Lonchura striata: one gene and its partners. The protein of the gene in region 1 purifies or fractionates together with the protein of each later gene. This does not show direct contact. Links are inferred from orthologs where the notes say so. Each region holds a gene or a part of one and is shown in the gene's direction. Other genes may lie near its edges. The genes, in order: USP25, BTBD9 and KCTD10.

Region 1 (7,117 bases):
TGCATACAAAAAAATATTATGGTCTCTCAGGAAAGCTGTGTCAAATAATATGATCAATATGCAAGGGTGGTCAAGAATAAAATAAAATAAATAAAATAATAAAGTAAAATGAAGTGTGAAGATAGCTAGGGTAAAAAAGGGCACGTTAACTAGGTTCTTGTAAAATCCATAATTTCTGTGGAATTCAGCTGCAATTACATGAACTCAGGAGTCTAAATCTGAGAATTTTTATTTTTGAATGTAGCACCTGACTTTAAGAAGACACGTGAATGAATAGACATCTGCTGTCAAGAAAAAATTAGAAGGTCAGGAACCTTCAATTTAAGGTCAACAAACAATGGAATATGAAGTTGTGTTTTGCATAGCAACAAGACCTATGCTCACCTCATTTTAGTTTTACTTTTAGATTTTCAAAAGGCTTTCAGAAGACTTTTAAGAAGGCTTTTCCTGAGTTACAAATTTTGTTAGTTTTTGTTTTGGTTGCCTTGGATGATAACCACCAGGAGATTTTGCAGGTGCCAAAGCAATGCTTGAATGGTTACCAGTGACACAGGGAGTAATTGCCAAACGATGATTTCAAAAGTTTCATGCTATAAAAGCTGCTTGAATGGCCGTGGTTTTGTCAGTTGGCTGAACTATTTACTGCAGAGCCAAAAGGCCTAAGTGAAAGTGCTCCAAGATGGGGTTTATAAATGTGAATCCTGGGCAGCTCTTGTCCAGGGTTAACTACAGAACCTGTGTTTGTAGCGTTCCCTGTGCTTTTTAAAGCAGTGCTTTCTCATCCCCAGTATAGCAGGTTACACATCTGGGAAAAGAAAACCAAGAAGTCCTGACTTTTGTTTCCCAGCTGTAACTTATGCAGCCACAGTCTAATTAAAGCCCTAAATGCATGTTGCACTTAATTAAAGACAAACCCAAGTCTATTGAAAATGGAGGGAAATAATGAGCTATTTCTTGTTGTACATGGTCTTTGTATACAATAAAACATGTGCTAAAGTGTTTTGTGGTTGGCTGATGTTTTGGCTGCTCTTTGCAAAAATGGGGAAACAAGGATTCCTGTGAGCAGGCACAGGCTTTCCCTCCAACTGGCAGTGTGCAGATCAGGAAGGCACAATCACTTACTGATTTTAGAAATAGGTGAAATGAAACTTGATGGGTACCATCACTGAGCCTGGGTCACCCTCTCTTCTGGGCCAGCCCAGCTGTTCCTGTAGCCAGTCAGTGAACCATTTTGGGGAACTTATCTAGCAGAAGAAAACAACCAGTTTAGTGGGGAGGGGAGTTTGTGCCTGTGTTTCAAGTGAATCACTTCTCCAGCACCGCTGGTGAGCAGGAGGTGCAGACGAGGGGGAGCCTTGCTCAGGGGAACAAGCAGCTGGAGGCACAGGTTGTGCAACATGTCACCAAACTGTTTAACAACCAAACCATGTTTGGTAGCAGCCAAACCCTGCAATATTGTTAAAAGGTGAGGAAAAACTATGGGGAAACCTAACAAACTTCTGTGAAAATATGCACATATATAAAAAAATATATATTTTCCTCTTAAACTGTGGCCCTGACAAAATCATTAGTGTTTACTGATGAGGTATGAATTCCAGGCTTGTACTCAATGTACTTCATAGAGAGCTTGAGCTGCAAAACAGAACAGGGAACTCTGCTCCCTCTGGTTCCCAGCAACACTGTAGGTATGACAGAATCCTCATTTGCATGATTCTGGTTCAGATTATGTATTTAAATGGCAAATCCCTGTTTTGGAATCAGATTGCTCAGCCTTTATATTAAAGAAAGTTAGGAAGCTGGAGCCCTTAAAAATGAATTTTATTGGGGAAGGGAATTTAATGGAAGGTGATGCTTTGTCATTTTATCCTGATTTAAAAAGAATTGAACAAAATGTACAATTTCTTCTTTCTTTTTTGGAAACATTTTATTTTTGGACACAGGAAAGCTATTAAATAAAACAGTGAAAACACTTGAAAAAAATATTGCAAGACAACTGTATTTTATTTAAATGCTAATTTGTTTATAATATGTTCAAATAATGTAAATAATAGTTGTGATGGGAGTTATCTGAACATAGCACATGTAAAAACACGGTGAAGAAGCTGTAAAAATGTATAAGAAAAAGCATGATTATATATTGGAAGAGGACGGAGGAATTGGACTATCACTCCTTCACAGCTACTACAGAAAAGTTTTTTTTAAGAAAAACCCCAAGCTGCTACTGTTGTCTTTCTTACATATAGCCATCAGTCTGAGCAGAGACTTTCCTTTCCTATCTCCAGTAAAGTAATTTGCAATCCATTTCTGAGCCCGTTATATTATCTGCATACTTTCTTATCTTTTGCACAATAAATTCTTTGGAAACAAATTTTACAAATTTCCTTTCATGTTGCAGCATAAAAGGAAAAAAAAAAAAACCAAAACATTAAAACTGATACAATCTATGGGCAACAAACCTGAGAAGTGCAAATATTGATTACATTGCAACATCTCCTGCACAGAATCTACAATGAAATGAAGCAGTGGTTGCAAGTTGTCATGAGTTGTGCTTGTGTTTTCCTTAGAGTCCAGGATCTTCCAGTGATGTTATTACCTGATAATGTCAGTTTTAAAAAGATCCATACTCTACTGTGGGGAGAGGAGGGCTCTGGATTACAGAGTTGTAAAGGCTGTGTGTGACAGACAAGCAATAGCTGCAATTAATTTTGTAGCATTAGGCTCCCAGCTCATGTTTTTTAGGTACTTGGGGCTCTCAGAACTGTGCTGTTCTCTGCAGCTTTTCCTACAGACTGAGCTCCACCAGCCTTGGAAGTGGAACAGGGACACTGGTACCATACACTGGGCAGGCATTCAAAATGTGAGATGGGCTTCTCTGCTGCCCTTCACCTGCTCCTGGGCAAACGTGTTTTGTCCAGCTGAGTCTTGTGCTGCTTGTGCTGATGCCCAAAGCAGAATCCTTTCTTGCCCTTTCCTTGACACCCCAGAGCAGGGTGACAGAAGGACAATTTCTTCCCTAATACTGTTTATCTGTGGTGCCAAAATTCACTGTGGGCTGCCAAGACCAGCTACCCCCCCCCATATGTTAATGACATTGCCATACAATTTGAATGCTGAATGCCATCCAGTCAAACCACGGCTCACCCAGTCAAACCTCAGGGAAAGGGAAGACCTGCAACTTCAGGATGCACCATTACTGTTTCTGGTTCTGGGCTCCTCAAGGAGCTCCTGGAGAGGGTCCAGCAAAGACTGCGAAGGTGATCAGGGTCCGGAGCATCTCTTATGAGGAGAGCTGGGCCTGGTTAGTCTGGAGAACACAGAGGGGACCTCTGTGTATTAATGCATACAAAGATCTCCAAAGTGGGTGCCAAGAGGATGGTGGGGCCCAACAACAGGGCAAGTAGCAATGGCCATAAACTAAAACACAAGAATTTCTAATTTCTACATCAACAGCAGGAATAACTTTTTTTTTTTTTTTTCTTTTCTGTTGAGCACGGCAGAGCACTGGAGCAGCTGCCCAGGGAAGGTGTGGAGTCTCCTCTGGAGACATTCCAAACCCACTTGGACACGTTCCTGTACCACCTGCTCTGGGTGACCCTGCCTTGGCAGGGGGGTTGCGGCGGGCGATCTCCCTTTCAACCCGAGCGATCCTGGGTCTGTGATTCATTTGGCGATTCGGTTTGCCCTGGCCACGAGCAGCCACAGCGCTGGCTCATAAATTCCCTGGCGATCCCCTGGAAAGCGGCACCGGTAAGCCGCTCTGTTTCCCCGCGGCGGGGGCAAACTTTGCCGTCGCCGGGGCCGCCGCTGCAGCCGGCGAAGGACGCGGAGCCCTCCCGCGGGAGGAGCGGGCGGCGGGGCCCGGCGGGAGCCGCCAAGATGGAGGCGGGCGCTGTGACAGGGCGGGGAAGGGGCCGGGCGGGGGCCGCGCCCGGGGCAGGTGCGCGGGGCGGCGCCGCCGGGAGCCGCAGCCGGGCCGAGGGCGGCGCTCCGGGAGCGGCGGCGGGGCCGGAGCGCGGCCGCGCTCCCCCCGCGCCGGGCGGCGACTCGGGCTCCCCCTCCGCCCCGCCTCCCGCCCCGCTCGCCCAGCCCGGGCCCGGCCCAGCTGCCGCCGCACGGCGCCGCCGCCGCCCGCCGAGCCCGGGGCGCCGCCGGGAGCCGCGCGGGGGCCATGACGGTGGAGCAGAACGTGCTGCAGCCCGGCGGCGCCGCCAAGGTGAGTCCCCGGCGGGGCCCGGCCTGGAGCGGCTCCGCCGCGCCCGGGCCCGGCCGCGCCCGCTCCGGCTCCCGCCGTCCCTCCCCGCGCCCGCGCCCGGCTTCTCCCGGGCCTTCCCCGCGCCGCGGCCTCGCCTGGGCCCCGCCGCTCCGGCGGCCGCGGAGCCGCGGCGGGGGCGGCTGCCGGGCCGGCCCCGGGTCACCCCGGGCAGCCCCGGCTCCTGCCCGCGGCCCCGGGCGGGCCTGTTGCGCTCCAGGCTGCTGGGCAGAGCGGCGGGACCGGGGCCGGGCAGCGAGAGCGCCGAGTCCCGGCCGAGCCCCCCGCGGGCCCGGGGGGAGATGCTGCACATGCCCGGCGTGACCCTGCGGCGCCGGCATCCGCGCCTGCCAAAGGTGAACGCTATTTCCAGCGAGTGACGCGCTCCTGCTGGAGTGAAAAAGTGCCGGGTTTAGGGACTCGTGCTAACGTGCATCATGGAACGGGGTTAAGGGAATGACGGCGCTCATCAGGCTTTTACTGTGCGCCAGGACTCGATGGAGAATGTTTCTCTGTCAAAAGAAGAATAAAAAGGATACCTTCTAAAGCTTTCCTTCCCTTGAACTGTCAAGACAAATGTCTAAAATTAAATTGCAGTGCTTTTAAAATAATATGTTTTAAAGGTAACTTGTAGGTTAACACAACTCTTCTGGTTAGTGGTATGGCTGTTGCCTCTTTCCTGATTTTTATTAATGTTTTAATGGCATGTACTGCCTTCCTAAGAGGATAAAGGTATGTGTGCTTTGGTATAGTCGGTGGGGAAGTTAAATGGCTGCAGCCGTAAGAGTGGACAGTGGGAATGTGCTGATTAGGGTATAATTGGTTAAAGTGGTAGAGCTCGCATTTAAGAAGCTTGTTTGGAGGGAGGGCGTGTCTGGCCGAGGACTGCTCTCATAGTTGGAAGTAGTTAGCCGTGATTTTGGCGGCTTCAGCAGGAAGGCAGGCAAGGGCTGAACGGTCTGATTTTGTTCCTCTCTCAGTGTTTTCAGTTGGGGTGTGCTGGCAGGTTAACGCAGCAGATTTGCTGCTACATGCGCCTGCTGTGTTTGAAAACTGATGTTGCTGCTGTGCATCTGACAACTTTCGCGAGCAAGTTTATCTTTTACAAAACCTCTTGTGGTTTACTTAATATATCGTAATTATCACGTCAGATACGAAGTGCCTTCTGGACCCTGATCAGTGCTGCCTATTTGTGCTTTCTGACAATAATCCTGGAGTAGTAATGTTAGTTTTCAACTAAACTAGAAGGATACTTAGTTTTCAGCTAAACTACTGCTTGCGGGTCAGTAGTTCAGATTCACTTGAGTTTCAAATCGAGGATAAGCCCAAAAGGAGGTTGAAGATTGATTGTGGTATATGCCAAGTAATCCATGCTGCAGTAAAAAATATAGCTAGCAATAATTCTGAAGTTGTAATCAGCATTGGTGGGTGTTGGTCACCTTTTAAAGTGTCTAAAGAAACTGAATAAAATATCAAGTTTTTTTCATGGCAGGGTTTTTTTATTATTGTTTCTGTTGAATTATCTGATTATTTTATTATCTGCAATTGCTTTTAACCTGTTTTATCCCTAATTGCATGCATTTAGGGAATGAGGGAAAGGCAAATCTTAAAAGTACTTTGTAAAAAAGCTTTATTTGACTCCAAAGTGAGTGTCTCATTGTTAGCGAGACTAATGACTAGGTAATTGGATGACAAACTTTAACATTGATCAGGTATTTGCATGTAAGAAGGCAAACGGTGAAGGTCCAGTGGGCTGATGGATGGATGAAAGGTGGAGAGGCTACCATAGCAATAACTTACTGTTTTCCCTTGAAAGAAGAAAAGCCCAATGTCCACAAATAAGGGAGTTTGTTCTGGAGACCTCAAAGTTTGTTACAATTGTTTTCTGTTAATGTGAAGAAACCACATACAAGCAGAAATATATTGGGTTTACAAGAGATGCCTGAGTCATCAGCATACCTTATTCGGAGCCATGGTTGCAAACATTGTTCATCAGACGTTTTCTTACTGTCATACAGGAAGCGTGTGTCAAACTTCAGCAGCACTTGGAGATGTAGGTTTGTATTAATAAATGCTGTAACTACAAACAGCCTGCTTCCCACTGAAGCTATCTTTAGTTTATTGTGTAGTTAAAGCAGCTGCGTCAGGTCAAAAGAAGCTTTTCTTTCATCTCTACTGGTCATTTTGACCCTTAGTTAAAACTTGTAAATTATGTCCTGAAGCAAATAATTAATCAAATTATTCTTGTTGCTTATGGCCCTTGTGTGCTTCTATGACATTGTTCGGTGTCTGAAGGTTATAGGTAATGTTCACAGTAAGATTAAAGCATGTGAAAAAGGTAAACAACATGCAAAGTTAAAAAAAAAAGTAGCTTCTTGTTTTGTCCAATCTGCATTTCTGTCCGGTCCAGTCCTTTTTTTTTTTTTTTTTTGTCAGGCATTTTGATGCTGAGGAAATAAGGCACATGTGTTGCAGGATTTCACATAATCTAGGCAGCCCTATGTGGCTGATGCCTGTGAACCTCAATTTTCCTCCTGGAGGAAGATCTCCCCAGGCTGCCCATGTACTGTGCAGACCCTTCCCTTGGCCAGTGTCCCCTACACAGCGAGTTCAGGGGCTGGGTGAATGGTGATTTTTCTGGTAACTGAAAGTTATGATGTGGGGAGGTTAAGCATGTTTCAACGTTGTATCAGCTCTGGTAATTACTGTGATGGTCATCTTGGAATGGCAGATTGAAGAAGCTGGGTTTTAATTGGTGGCACTTAGCTGGCCTCTCAGCAATGTGTGTTATCAAGTTCTACTGCTTCTGGAGAGAGCCTGACATTTGGTTGATACATGGATTTAAAGGCTGTTTTATCTCTCCTTTGG
Region 2 (7,368 bases), on another chromosome or scaffold:
GAAATGCAAGAAATTTTTTCCCTTTGATTTTAATATATTCTGTCTATGAGATCTTCCTGGAAAGCTGAGTAATGCGTTGCTAGGAGTTGCCACTGCTTAGAGGTTTCTAAAACCAGTTACCCCTGCACTGCCTTACAGAGTGGGCAAAACTGACAATAGATCCATCCCAGTAACAATAATACATCAGTCTGTGATGTGCCTTCTGTATGCAGCCTAACCTTCAGTAAAATTCACATTCTCTCTTGATGTCATAGTTTACATATCATTTTATACTGCTGCCTAGAGTTGTTACAGAATTTACTGTAACATGGATCAGAGTCACATGGCAAATCTGCTTGGTTCTTGTCTTAGGAAAGTAAGTCAAAACATAATAGTTCCCACTTATTTAAACTGAGTCATTCTTGACTTTTCTGGCTATTTTCATGTAAATCCACCTAACACCTACTGTACAACCTACCAGCTATTATATTTTTAACTGCTCTTTCAGCTTTGGTAGGAGTAGCCCATTAGTCTTTATCATAATTGACTTGCATAATGTATCACACAAATATTCAGAGAGTATATATGCAAAGAATGCATATGTGAAGATATCCCAAAATGCAGAAGTGGTGAGAAGTCTTGCATTTTTCAGCAGGATTCTCTTTCATAGAAAAGACCTCATGAGATTTTTAGGACTGATGCATGCAAAACCAGACATGTAATACTAGTAATTGAAAACAGATTTAAGTGATTTTCATCTTATTCACTGTGTTCTCAGCTGAAGCAAAATAAGAAATGTAGCTGAAAACTTAACTTGATTTCTTGAATTAAGAACAGATCTTGGTATTTCTAGCATTTTAGAGTTTCTGAGCCTTTTTTAATTTGTCTGTTTGTTAAACAGTGAGAGGCTTGAAGTGAGAATTGCTGACTTACAGCTGTGCAGCGGTAGGCATGAAAGTACATAGAAGAACAAGCTTAGACTATAAATGGAGAGAATCACAAGAAAGAACTCCTGAAGCAGAAGAAGGGTGGGGGCAGAGCAAAAGCTCTTCTTTGAAATTCAGAAACAAAATTGATGCAGCAAATGCCAAGGAGGAGAATGAAGTTTTGGGTTTAACATTGTTTGCAGAGCATGGTGGAGATCAAGCATAGGGTTTATTTTCCTGCCTTAATGAATAAACATCTATTTTCTCCGTTGTTTTTGTGACTAGAATATATTAAGAGTTAGGCTGGGTCTGTTACAGTAAATAACTTAATGGAGCAAGTATAACTACAAGTGTGTGGTTAACACTTTAAGCTGTGTTGTCCTGATCTACTGTTGAAAACAACTTTTGGGGAGCTTGTTTTAAGGAATAATATGGTTTCCAGCAGTAAAATCTATAACAATCCTGTCCTGCATTTCTTTGCTTTATGAAGTGGTGCAGAAGTATACTGTAAACCATGTCAGAGGTAAAAATTTTATGGTAAAATTTCATTGTGGAGTTGGGAATGGTGGGAGATGAACAGGGCAGAGGAACACAGGATTTTATACCAGCAAAGCCAGTTCAAGAAAATATATCAAAACATCCCCAGAGCACAGAAATATTTTCCTGAATTTTGAGGATGAACACTTACTGGGGCATATGCAAAAAACTTCAATCAACAAAAGATTGAATTCCAAAGTGACTTTTAACTACAGCTTTATTGAGAGTAGGATTGACGGTTTTGCATACAGAGATCTAATGCCGATTAAAAACTAAGCTGGATGTTTTTAGAATTATCTGTCTAAATTTGAACTAATTCTCATGCAAAACTAAAAATATTTTTGAAAGTAGTCATATTTGACATTTAGAATCAGTCATGTAGTCTTCATTTTATCTTTTTTTTTTTTTTTCCCGTAATAGGTAAAATGAAAGGACTTGCATTTGTTCAGGACCCTGATGGCTACTGGATTGAAATTTTGAATCCTAAACACATGGTGACTCTCACTTAGTTCTAGCAAAGTATATTGTATAAGAGACCCACTTTCAGACTCCTGGAGAAAATCTGTAATAGTGTTTGTGAAAATTGCTTAATAGAGAGGAATCAGTCACGTTCAGAGTCTCCTCCAAAACTATCCCCTGGGACCTAACTTGGATTCCTTTTCTCTTCTCCTGTGATGCCACTGCCAATTGTTTCCAGTTAGGAATACTCAGTCATTTTCTGGAAGAGCACTTACACAGATTCTCCTCTTGAACATTGTTTATGTTAATATTTCAATAAACACTGTCAAAAGATATGTGACCAGAAGCTCACTGCATCTCACACTGATTAGATTTAAATGGGCAACAATTCCTGTGTTACTACTGATGAGCATCAATGAGGAAGCAAAAAGAAATTTCAGTATATTTATGAAGTCAGAAGATCCTGAAGGCTTCATGTCCTAATTTGCATACTAGAAAAATAAAATATCAGGCTAATTTTGACTGGAGTAGTAGCTTGCTTATAAAATTCATAATCTTATTTACATTATTCCAGGCAAAACTCTTTTAAGGAGCAGCCTTAAACTGTCTTGCAAAAAGAAGTTTTATAGAAGGAATAAATTTGTACAGCAGAAAGAATTCAGTCTTTCAGCTCAGCTTTTGACTGCTGATTGACAGCCAAGAGAAGAGGTCTCATAGCTGCCAACTTGCAGTGACCCTTGTCTCTTTCAACACTAGGAAGAACTTGCTCATAATTTTTGTTTCAGGAGAAGTCTGGGGCTAGATTTGACTTAAATTCTTTGTATATTCTGCTCTAGAAAATTAATGAAAAAGATTCTCTGTTTGATTGTCCTCCCAAAACAAGTGGTGGTACATACCTGTGAGCAGCAGGAAAACATGGAGCATTTCCATGTCTTACACAAATTATAAAACCCTCTGCCTTGTCTTATTCTGCTTGGAGTAGCACCTAACGTCTTCAGTTATGTGGCTATCAAATAATGTATAGGGTAACCAAAGGCTAACAAATAGTGTAAAGGCATTGCAGTTCACTTCCCAATAAAACATTGGTGAAAACTACAAGAAACTTTAACGCATGATGAAGTGTTGCTTTGCTTTTTGTTGAATTCTTGATGACTGAAAGGCTTGCTGTTTTGCTTAGAGTATTCTGTTTGGAATCATTGTACTCGGCAATGAAATTTCTAATGATCCTTTCCTGTGGACTCTTCACAGACCTCACTGGTCCACCTCTCATCTGTCTCCCGGACAGTCTTGGGAACCTAATCAATTGCTCGATGGTGGCCAGTGCCAAAGGGAGTTGGTTGCCTAAAAACTGGGTGAGGTGTGACTCCAGCTCCTGCTGCCATGTGCTGGGTCCAGACAGTGGAAGGACCCTGAAAGCCCCCATGTGAGCAGAAAAGCCACACTATGAAAAGCCAGTGTCCACAAAGGAGACAGTCGTCCTGCAAATATATTCAAATAAAGGCAGTGTTCACTGGGGCACACACGTGTTATAAACTCCCAGCCACATGTTGACCTCTTCTTTCCCCATTGGCTGAGGTACTAGGAAGGTACAGCCTTTCTGAACTGCCTACCACATACTTCCTCCTTAACATGTCATTTTCCCCCAAAATGCAGAAACTGGCTTGTGTGTGGACCCATTTGTTTCAGGAGTCAAATTGTCTGGGCTCTTACAAACCTGAGGCTTGAAGTTGGTAGAGACATTAGGAACTATTTCAAAGGCATTAATACCTATACCCTGCCCATGGAATTGTTTGTAAAGACATTAGCACACATCTTTCCTATCATGTAGTCCAGTGGATAACTACATAAGTAGCAGCAGGCTAGGCTAAAGCTTCTCTGCTTAGTAAGCAAAAAAAACCCAAATCCAGAATTACAAGTCTTAACCTGCAACGTTTTTAAAGTATTTTAGACACAGAAAAACTTCTGAAATTGTTTCATGTTCCAACTGATTACAGGCCACTATTTTTGCTTCTTCCAAGGAAGGCTTCTTTTCTTCTAAATAAACCATGGAATTAAATAGCGTGTAGTGCTTTGCCTCCCAAAAGGCATAAATTTAGCTTCATGCAGCGCAACACAAGTCAGTCATGCTTACGTAGCGACAGGCCCACATTCCCCATTCCCGCAGGGAGAAGCTCTCCTGACGCAGGAAAGCAGGACACGCAGCGGAGGGCAGGAGCTACGCACGCCGCTACCAAGGAAACAGGGATTTTGAATGGAGCCAAGGAGCAGCGGACAGGGGTGGCGGGGAAGGTTAAACAGCGGTCGCTATTTCACAGTCCCTGCTGTCCGGCAGCGCCGCTATGTCCCGACTGCCGCGCTCCAGGGGCGGAGCAGGAAAAAGGGCGGCGGCGGCGGCGCTCCCGCGGCGCGGCGGAACCCACTGGCGTCATACGCAGGCCGCTGCTGTCCGGTGACTTCAGCGCGCTGCCGGGTGACGTTGAACGGCGGCGGGGCGGGAAGAGGAGGCCTCGGCGGCGGAGGGGCCGGTGAGTCCCGCGGGCGGGAGGGGCGGGGCGGCCGCGGCCCTGAGGCCGGGCGGGGTCCCGAGGCTGCCTGGGGTCTTGAGGTGCTGCCGTCGGCGGCTGCCGCCGGGCACGGGCAGGGCGACCTGGGGCGGGGCGGGGGAGCGCCGGCGTCCGGGGAAGGCGCCGGGCGCATTTGGCGGGGAAGCGGTTTCACCTGAAGTGCCTCGTTGTGGAGGCGAGGGAGGGGCCGGCCGGGCGGGCTGGGGTCCCTTCCCCTGGCGCTTCCCGCGTTGAGGGCCGGTGGCGGCCCGGGCTGCCCCGGGCGCGACCTTGGGCGCATCGCCCGCGCTGGTCCGCGCCCGCCTCGTCTGCCGCCCCCTCGTTCTGCCTCTGGCTTCGCAAGGCCGTGCTACGGCCATCTAATTAGAATTTTATTTCTTAAGAAAACACAAGTTCAGTATTTTGATGCTTTCGCGGTACTCAATGTTTTCCCTGTTTCACCAATGTTTGGTGTCGTAGTAGTTCAATCACTCTGCAAGTTACGCACTGCTGTGATTCATTGAAATTACTCTTAACTTAGAAGACATATTATCAGACTTTAAAAAAAAAAACAACTTGCTGTTAACTTGTTAGCAATCTTCCGGTGATCTCGCTTGCCAAGCAATGCTTTTTGCTCATGTTTTTAAAGCATAGTAAACAGACCTTCTTAAAGTCCTGTGCTGGAATCGTTTAAGTTATGTGTTTCAGGATTTAATTTGAGCCTGCTCACAGAGCAGGTGTATTTGATGTGTCTTCTGTTACAACTCTAAATCCGGTGCTAGAGCTGTTTTGTTGGGAATTCTACTCAAATTTAGCAAAAAAAAAAAAAAAAAAAAAAAAAACCAAACCAAACAAACAAAAACAAACAAACAAAAAGCAAACAAAAAACCAAAAAAACCACCAACCAAACAAAAAAAACCCAAGATTTTTCATTAATGCCTTTTGAATGTATTTTGATAACACAGGCAAACTTGATAACATGCATTTCTTATAGGAAAGATACTTATGTATTACATTTTGGTCCTCAAAGACCAGAAGACTTTTCTTTGTAAAAAGCCTGGATTTGATTTGCAGGATTAAGGTGTGATTACTTTCTAGTTCATGAGACTACCTAAAAATATTTTTTTCTGCCTTCTCTTCCTTTGTTCTCTTGAACATATCATGAGAGAATTCATAGATCAAGATATCATCCATTTAGCAAATTAAATACAGTTTATTTTTCTTCCTGGAAGGTTAGCAGTAATTTGTAATTGTCGAGAGAAACTCATTATGTTGGTTATGTATTTAAGCAAATCAAGCCTCTATATTTCTCCATTCCTAACCTTACAGTTTTGTTTTGGTTTCCTGTTAAAAAAAAAAAAGGCTTGTGCAATAGACAGGTCTTGCAGCTGCCTTAAGTTTTGTAAAAAAAAAACTACCAAAACCCAAATGAAATCCCCAACACTTTAGTTAGGCAAGAACACTTGGAGAATTTTGTCTGTGTAGGGAATAAAGCATGTGTGATACAGTTTGTATAGACCTAGTTTAATTAGGACACCCATCTGGGAAAATGGTGTTTTCCAGGAGCATTAATGCTGTAGCAGAAATATCAGGTTAGAATTTTTTAGCTTATATGGAATATGGCGATGTGTTACTGTCTTCTCTAATGGTTTAAAATATTAGCAGTCAAAATTAAATTATGATGACTCAGAATAGCAATACTATTCCTATATTCTAATGTTTTTAGAAGTTTTCCTGTTAAATTGAAAGCTTTTTAAAGAATTTATGTCTGCAAGAAGTTGAATTGAGAAATATGCATCTCTCACTTTCATCATAAGGCTTTGTACTCATTATTTCTGATGATGTGTATTTCATGCATTGTTCCAGGAAATGGTCCAGTTGTTGCTGTGCAGCTGGATGTTGCTGAATAACATTTCTATGAGCTTGCTGTTCAATCTGTCTGTTGTTCAGAATGGCAAAGAACCCTAATTTCCCGGAAGCAGGGAATCTGCCTACAGGCTACACGCACTGTAGGTCTTCAGACAGCTTCACTGGTGAGTGGACCCGATGTGTTTTCTTGATATTTTAATGTTTTTGTTGTATGCCATTTTAACCATGTTAATTTTTTATATATATGTTAATAAATAATCTGGACTAAGTATCTTGTTATTTTGTTCTTGTACTTAGCTAAACTTATTCCCACTCTTCTGTGACAGGAAAGCGTCTGAGGAGTGTGTAAAATGTTAGCACTACAGCACTTAAGTGATGGGAATGTGTTTGCAGATGAGCAGGGCATAACTTCCCATATGCTTTGAGTCAAAACATTTTTTGGTACTAAATTGCTGTTTAGAATGCTGTGATTGGATGGTGTGGTTAGTTTCCACTAATGTTACCATCTGCTTTCCTTTTAATCCTTTCACAACAGAAGGGTTGGAGATGGGATTTGAAAGTTCTGTGAATTGCCGTTATTTGAGTTTTCATAGTCTGTATTTATAAAGTTGTATGGGTGGATTGTTGTTGGAACCCTGGCCTGGTTCAGGGGTTCTGGGTGGTGGTAAAGGCTCTCCTCCAACCTGTGCTTCCAAAGAAAAACTCTGCAGCTTCTTGTTGTTCAGTCTCATGGCTGTTTATTGCAAGCTATCTAGAAGATTGTCTTCTCTGGCTACTGCGGTTTGCTCAGCAGCTCAGGCAGAGGCGCACACACCTCTGACACCCTCTCTGTCTGCTGTCTTCTTCTCTCCCTGCCCAGGGCTGCTGCTATCTTTTATATGGTACATTATGTGATACATGTTTACAGTTTTTCCCCAATACCTACTACCCATATTAAATGGTGCTTTTCTACTCTAAACCAATCCGTAAGTGCCAGCCAGCATCACCAAGAACATGGAGGCAAGGAAGAACAGGACCGGCCTACATTCCTCCATCTTAGAACTTCTGACCCCATG
Region 3 (7,419 bases), on another chromosome or scaffold:
AGCAGCAAACAAACCCAACCAATATAATGTGGCAGGTGCAAAGTTTGTCAAAATTATGTAGGACTTGTCCTTGTCCATCTCATGATGGGGTGATTAAGCAGGATTTAGGTTCAGCAGCAGTGACAGAAGGGGAAGGGTGGATTTGGTCTCACTCTACTTGAGAAACTTGAGAAATTTTTGCTTTGCTTGAGAAAAATATAATAATGTACAAATCACTGGCAGCTCATCCCTGAGACCCTAACACAGACCCAAAATGCTCCTCAGGAGAGGGGGACAGGCAGGGCTGGGGCTGGTTGGGGTGAAGTTGGGACTGTGGCAGCTCAGACTGACCTGCAGCACGGAGTAGAAGCCCTTCTGGTTCAGGTGGCCCATGATGTTGGCACAGATGTGGTTCATGGCAGGTCTCAGGGTCTCACCTTTGGGTTAAAGCACTCGTGTCACTCCCACAGCACCACAGCCCCACTCTGGCTCCCCCACACAAAGGTTTGTCACTGCCCAAAGTCCTTGTCCTTCTACACAAACCCATCATTCTGTCAGCATTTTACACTGTATTGTTTAGGCTCTAAGAGTCTCATTTCCTCTCACTACTTATCTGCCTTTCCTACATCTATTTCCTACAAAAGTTAAGAGCACATTCCCTTACCCCCTGAACACTTACTGTGTGAGGGTTTCTGGAATATTATAAAAATGCTGTAACAACTGTTGGTGTCCTAAGGGAAACAGTCTAATCCCAAGGGGAAGAGTCTAATCCCAAGGGAATCCTTAATCTGGGCAAACACAGGAGCAGAATGAATCTTTGTGGCAACCAAGGTGCAGAAACAGAATCCCAGAAGGGTTTGGGTTGGAAAGAATGTTAAGGATCATCCCATCCCAAACCCCTGCAAAGAGCAGGTACACCCCCCACTATGCCAGGTTGCTCCAAACCCTCTCCAACCTGGCCTTGGACATTTCCAGGGATGGAGCAGCCACAGCTTCTCTGGAACTTGTGGCAGAGCATTCAGTAAATTTTAACACCAAGTCCCAAATCAGTGAGATTTGGATGCACCAACCTTTTCCCCGGAGGATCTTCCAGGTGGAAGTGTCTGTGAAGGTGACCAGCATTGTGAGGTGCAAGTTCACCAGTCTGGAGTCCTGCAGGATGTCAGGCTGGGATAACAAACAGCAGAGTTAACAAATCCACTGAGCCTTGTGCCCCCTGCCAAATGCAGGGAGAGAAAACACAGGAATAGTCCTCACCTTGAGCTGCTTGAGGAATTCACAGCAAAACCACAGGATGTCTTTGATCTGTTTGATCCAGAGGAGGGTGAGGTCCTTGGAGAGTGCCAGTGACACGTACCACACCTGAGCAAGGGGGGATGCACAGAGGGATCAGGGCTTGTGCTACTGCTGGGCAGTTTGGGAACTGAACCCAGCAGTGGGACCAAGATGCTCCTCTCCCCAAATTCTCACATCACCCACGCCAGAAACCAAGTGTCCTTTAACTCCCGTGGCTGCACAGAGTAAAAATATCCCAGGAATACTAAAGGACTTTCCACAGTGGAATTTCCACAGTGCTCAAGGGTTTCTGAAATCTAAAAATTACGTATTAGCAAAGTAAATCCCCACACAGAGAGTTAAAAATGACCACCAAGCCCTCCCCACTCCAAAGCAAACCCCCCCTGCTGACCTTGGGCTCGTTCTCCACATCCATGCTGTTCAGGATACAACGGCACAGCTTCTCAAACCTCTGGGAAAATCCAAAGGTGGGATTAGTTCTAACTACAGGAAGGGCTGTTCTGGAAAAGCACAAGAACAGCTCAGCAAAGGGAGGAAGATCTCTCTGTCTCAAATTAGCAAATGTTCCCAGCACATTCCCTACAAGAATCCTCATGGCTCCTTCCCTGGGAGCACACACATCCTGCTGCTGCTGTGCAGAATTCCTTCCTTGGGAACACAGGGGTTTTTTTTTGGGTGCTGTACCAACAGAAAACTGCATCTGAGCACAGATTTCCATGGGACAGAGATTAACAAAATCCCTCACTGCTGCTGCTATTGAAACACAGCTTTCCATTTTGCAGCTGGTTTCCTTCCAGTCAGCCCTCACAGCTTCCTGGGATCATCATTTCAGGGCTTCACTCTGAACCCACAAGTTCAGGGAATGGTGAGAAAAGCTGCTGGGGTACAAACAGCCTTCCCTGTGCCAGCATAGATCTCTGGCAGCTGTCCCAATGTACCTGCCTGGGGAACTGGGGTGTGCCAAAATCCTCAGGCACTGCTCAGCTCCTGCAGCTAGCACAGTCACCAGAAAAAACATCCATTAAAGGATGTCCCAAATACAAAACCACTGCTGAAAAATTCAAGGTTTCTCCCATCTCAATCCTACAGGCATATCCCTTCAGGAAGGGCCAGAAGCCAGAGAGAAACTTGCTGAAGGCAGAATATATTGCAAGAACCTCCAAGATCACTGAGTAAAGAATTAAACATATTTAACCTGTCCCCAAAAGCACAGCAGGATGTGAGGGCAGTGTCCTCACCTCCTTGTCCTCCTTGGGATTGAACACAAACAGCAGCTTCCTGGCAATCCTGAACACAGACAGGGCACTTCTTTTACTTGAGCCACATTCATTTGTCCCAAAGAAATCCTCCACCTCTCTCCTAGCAAAGAGGGAAAAACGAGGAGTTAAAAAGCAATCACAGAGCAAAGAATTCATTCCCTGAAGAGCCCCACATGGAAGATGGAGAGAGACTTTTTACAAAGGAAAAAGGGGAATGGACTCAAACTGACACAGGACAGGGTTAGATGGGATACTGGGAAGAAATCCTTCCCTGTGAGGATGGAAGAAGCTGTTGCTGCCTCATCCCTGGAAATGCCCAAGGCCAGGTTGGCGAAAAGTGGTGAGGGTTTTGAAATGAGATGAGCTTTAAAGTCCCTTCCAAGCCAAGCCATTGCATGATCCCATGAGTCCCACACACCTGATCTCCCTCTGCAGGTGGCATCGACACAGAAACCTCCTGACCAGAGCCTGGAGCTGCACTGCAGCTCTCTCCCTCTCCTTCAGCTCCCGCCGCTCCTCCCGCGCCTGCCGGGCCTTGTCCAGGAACTGGGCCCTGGAGGACTGGCTGGCACTGAACATGGCTGGAGCCTCAGGGAGCAAAGGATCCTCACAGCAAACAGCCTGGAAAACCAGAGCAGAGTGGAAAAAACACTCATAGAAGGGCAGTTCTTGGCTCCATGCAGAGGAGGGGAGAATCCGACAGCGGAGGGAAAGTGGGCTAAAAAAAAAAAAGAAAAAAAAACCCCAGTGACTGTCACGGGGCTGCAGCAGGGACACAAAAACACTGGCAGGGAATCCTTCCAGCACAGCCCACAGCCTGCTGCTGGCTGGGAGATTTTAAGTGGAAAAATAAACAAATCAGTGGTGTTGACACTGTGCTCCACCTCCCCTCTCCAGCATCTGCTCCTTCCTTGGTAACAGATAAGAACAACTCCCAGGCAGGGGCAGGAGGCAAAGGGCACAAGGGACAGCGATTTACTGCCTTTCAGCAGATAAAACACCCAGAGCTTTATAAATAGCAACAAAGCACTCACCTGAGGGGTCACTTATTCAAGGGAAGCGTGTGATGCTCATTTACACGCACACATCGAGAGACTTCGGGCAGCTCCTGCATGGACAAGCACATTCCCTGCGGCTGATTTGGGGACTTAAGACTTTCCCTCCGCAGTTCCGAGTCCTTCGGAGCCCATTTACCTCTGGCTGCAGCCGCAAGGAAAACGGTAAGTGGGAGGAGAAGCAGCACCACAGGCAGCTGAGGGGGGTGCGGAGCAGGGACAACCCCGTGTGTGACAGCACGAGAAGGACAAAGCCACCCAGGTGCCACCCCCGGGCAGCCACCCACAGAGGTGCGCTGCGGCTCGCAGGAGTCGCCCACAGCAGCCACAGAGCCCCCTCAGCCCCTCCGGCAGCCGCGCATCCCTCCCGTTCCCACCGCAGCCTCCCCGGGCCCGCACTGCGCTCACCCCGCCGCGCCTCCCCCCGCAGCCCCCCGGCGCTCACCCTCGTCCCGGCGGGCACCGGGCCGGGCCTCACAACCCCGGAACCCCCCGGGAACCCCCCGGGAACCCCCCGGGAACCCCCCGGTCCCTCCCGGCTCCGCCGCCAGGCCGCGGCCGCAGCCCCCTCCTCGCACCGTGTCCGCGCTGCCCGTCCGGCCGCCAACCCGCCCCGCCGCTGCCGTTCCGCCGGGCCGCTCACCGGCCGGGCGCAGGGGGAACGGCCCGCCCTGCGTCCCGCTGGTACCGGGGAGGCCGGGCCGGGCCGGGCCGAGCCGGGCCGAGCCCGTGAGGCGGCGGCGGCGCGGCGCGGGCCCGCCGGGCCATCGGACGGGTTTGGGGGCGCACCGGGCGGCGCCGGAAGGCGGGAGCGGCGGAAGTTCCGCGCCCGGCGCTGCCGCTCGCTCGCTCCGCGGGGCTCGGCCCGTTCATGGTGAGGGGAGAAGGCGGCTCGGGGCCGCGAGGGCGGGGAGGCGCTCTGGTGCTCGCGGGGGAGGAGGGGATGGAGGGGCGGATGGGGGACGGCGGGTGTGAGGGGGTGCGGGCCTCAGCACGGGGGAGGTGATGGGGGTCCCCTCGGTGGGGCGGGGGGCTTTGGGGCATGGGAAGGGGGCTGAGAGAGGCCGGGGGTTGCGGGTTGCCGTCCTGCCCGCTGCCCTGGGAGGGGTCGGGCTGAGGGTTTTGGGGGTCCGGCCGCCGAGAGCGGTGCGGGTGTTGAGGAGCGGCAGTGCCCAGGGGCGGCATGGAGAGAGGGGTCCCGGGGGGAGTCTGAGCCCCGGTCCGGTGTGGGGAGGGCAGCGCTGCGATTCGGGGTCATGATGGGATCGATCCCCCTCTGGAACCCCGCGCCCGTTCCTGCCCCAGCTCGGTACCGGAGGGAGCGGGAACGTGAGCTGAGATTGCTGCCTGTGCATCCCGGAGATGATGGGATCGTCTCCAGGCCACCCCTGCCGCTCCTGCTCCCTCTCCTGTGCCACACAGCTCCGGCTCCTTGGGGAGTTTCACGGCGGTGAAGCAAAAATCCTTCGGTTCGGCTCATCGCGGAGCCCTGGGAGCTGGAGGAGCAGGGATGGAGGAGGTGAATTATCCCACCTTTCCCATCCTGAGGGAAAACAGCCGCGGAGGCTCCTAGAGATTAAGGATTTAGCGGCTCTGGGGGCATTTGTGGTGCTGAGCCTCCGTGTGCCTGTGCCCGTGTGACCTCGGTGACAGGAATGTGGCTGGAGGTTGCTGTGTCCGGCTGGATTTTGGTGCTCTGAGCAGTGTGGGAGGGCAGGGAAGAGCAGGAAAGCTCATGTGTGCTCTCCGTGTTTGCTCCAAGAGAAAAAGACTTGAAAACCTGTGGATTTTCTGCCTTTTAGCACTTGGGAATCTGTTGATTTCTGCATTTGGACTCACAGGAATCATCTGCTCCACTTGTGTGTGTTGGGAATTGCCCAATTCCATCCCAGATTATTGATGGAGTAAGAGCTTTAAGCTGTGGAGTTGTGTGAGAAATGAAAGCAGTTGTGGGAAAGCTTGGCTTTGCAGTGCAAAACCCGGTTTAGCAATCCTAGGTGGTGGTTTTTTTTTTTTTGTTTGTTTGTTTGTTTTTTTTTTTCCCCTGGGGAAAAAAACAGGGACTGTGCCCACCAATGTCCTTCAGTTCCTGAGAGTGAAACATTGAAAACACTTGAGAACTTCACACAGAGCCACAGGAGGAGCCGAGGTGTGAAACACCCGGTGGGAGCAGGGGTGTCACACTGCCAGGGTGGCAATTGCTCCTTTGAGCTGGGAATTCCTTCCCTGAAGTGGAAAGTCCTTCCTTGAACTGGGAAGTCTTCCTTGAATTGGGAAGTCCTTCCTTGAGCTGGGAATTGCACTCTTGAAGTGGGAGCTGCTCCCTTGAACTGGGAATTGCACTCTTGAACTGGGAATTGCACTCTTGAACTGGGAAGTCCTTCCTTGAACTGGGAAGTCCTTCCTTGAGCTGGGAGTTGCTCCCTTGAGCTGGGAATTCCTTCCTTGAGCTGGGAGCTGCTCCCTTGAGCTGGGAGCTGCACTCTTGAAGTGGGAACTCCTTCCTTGAACTGAGACCTCCTTCCTTGACTGGGAGTTGCACTCTTGAAGTGGGAACTCCTTCCTTGAGCTGGGCATCCCCTTCCTTGCAGGAAGAGATGTCGGGAGAGAGTGTGGTGAGCTCAGCAGTGCCGGCGGCCGCGACGCGCACGACGTCCTTCAAGGGGAGCAGCCCCAGCTCCAAGTACGTGAAGCTGAACGTGGGAGGGGCCCTGTACTACACCACCATGCAGACCCTGACCAAGCAGGACACCATGCTCAAGGCCATGTTCAGCGGGCGCATGGAAGTGCTCACGGACAGCGAAGGTGAGGATCGGGACCTTCCCGGCGCCCTCCGCGTCCTTCCTGGCCAGGGAAAGTCACTGCGGTCGTGGGAAGGTCACAGGACCTTCTGTTTGAAGGGTTGGAAGGATGGAGGAGCTCTCCTACAAGGGAGGGTTGGGATTGTTCAGCCTGGACAAAAGGCAGGTTTGGGGTGACCTAATTGTGGCTTTCCAGTGCCTGAAGGAGCTACAAGAACCACAGAGGGAGGATATTTATAAAGCCCTGGAGTGGCAGGACCAGAGAATAGGTTTGGATGAGATATTGGGAAGGAATCTTTCCCTGTGAGGGTGGGGAGGCCCTGGCACAGGGTGCCCAGAGAAGCTGTGGCTGTCCCTGGATCCCTGGAAATGTCCAGGGCCAGGTTGAATGGGGCTTGGAGCAGCTTGGGATAGTGGAAGGTGTCCCTGCCCATGGCAAGGAGTGGACTAAATAATCTTCAAGATTCCTCCCAACCCAAAAACTGCTGTTGTTCCATGATTCCATGATTGTACAGCTGGGAAAAATGTGGAACAAAAGACAAAGATGATCTGAGTGGTTGCCTGAACAGAAGGACACCAAGAAGTGCCAGAGCTCCTGTCAGGCCCTGGTGACACCTGGAGCATCTTTTCCTTTCAGAATACTGACACTAAAGCTCTGGAGTCCATGGAAAAAGGCGTGGATAGTGATTAGGAATCCTTGAGCTGGGACTTGTGTGTCTTCTTGGAAGCTCAGAATGCCATTCCCTCTTGTCTCCTTGCTTATAAATAAAATATAAAACATACTCTGAACATAGGTATAAACGAGTTAAAAGCTGATTTTTTTTTAAATGAAACAATTATCTCGTGGGACTGTTGACAGCTGATTTCCCTAAAATAGAACCAGTTGCAAAATTTTCAGAAAATTTGGAATTTTATCTCCGCATTCCCACATTGTGGATGTGCCAGAGTTTAATTAGAAGCTCAGCTTTATTTTCACTCTGATGTTTTACCCATAACAATATTTAAAGACCTTTGTCTTTAACAACAGCC

Evidence for each region.
Region 2: the proteins of USP25 (region 1) and BTBD9 purify together in Homo sapiens (affinity purification with mass spectrometry; 3 studies listed by BioGRID and IntAct, counting the BioPlex papers as one, with this or other methods). This does not show direct contact. The link is inferred for Lonchura striata from reciprocal best matches to the Homo sapiens genes USP25 and BTBD9.
Region 3: the proteins of USP25 (region 1) and KCTD10 purify together in Homo sapiens (affinity purification with mass spectrometry; 4 studies listed by BioGRID and IntAct, counting the BioPlex papers as one, with this or other methods). This does not show direct contact. The link is inferred for Lonchura striata from reciprocal best matches to the Homo sapiens genes USP25 and KCTD10.

What each region holds. Positions count from the first base shown.
Region 1 is NC_134604.1:8,527,771-8,534,887, reverse strand, and holds the start of USP25 (ubiquitin carboxyl-terminal hydrolase 25), read left to right. Parts: upstream 1-4,106; 5' UTR 4,107-4,168; coding exon 4,169-4,213; intron 4,214-7,117. UniProt on the Homo sapiens protein: Deubiquitinating enzyme that hydrolyzes ubiquitin moieties conjugated to substrates and thus, functions in various biological processes including inflammation and immune response.
Region 2 is NC_134605.1:29,139,000-29,146,367, forward strand, and holds the start of BTBD9 (BTB/POZ domain-containing protein 9), read left to right. Parts: upstream 1-4,314; 5' UTR 4,315-4,426; intron 4,427-6,310; 5' UTR 6,311-6,395; coding exon 6,396-6,477; intron 6,478-7,368. Other genes in the region: GLO1 (lactoylglutathione lyase), read left to right, coding at 1,863-1,951.
Region 3 is NC_134620.1:11,168,110-11,175,528, forward strand, and holds the start of KCTD10 (BTB/POZ domain-containing adapter for CUL3-mediated RhoA degradation protein 3), read left to right. Parts: upstream 1-4,405; 5' UTR 4,406-4,460; coding exon 4,461-4,463; intron 4,464-6,180; coding exon 6,181-6,394; intron 6,395-7,419. Other genes in the region: UBE3B (ubiquitin-protein ligase E3B), read right to left, coding at 331-416, 1,050-1,146, 1,237-1,341, 1,667-1,726, 2,514-2,634, 2,953-3,113. UniProt on the Homo sapiens protein: Substrate-specific adapter of a BCR (BTB-CUL3-RBX1) E3 ubiquitin-protein ligase complex. The BCR(BACURD3) E3 ubiquitin ligase complex mediates the ubiquitination of target proteins, leading to their degradation by the proteasome.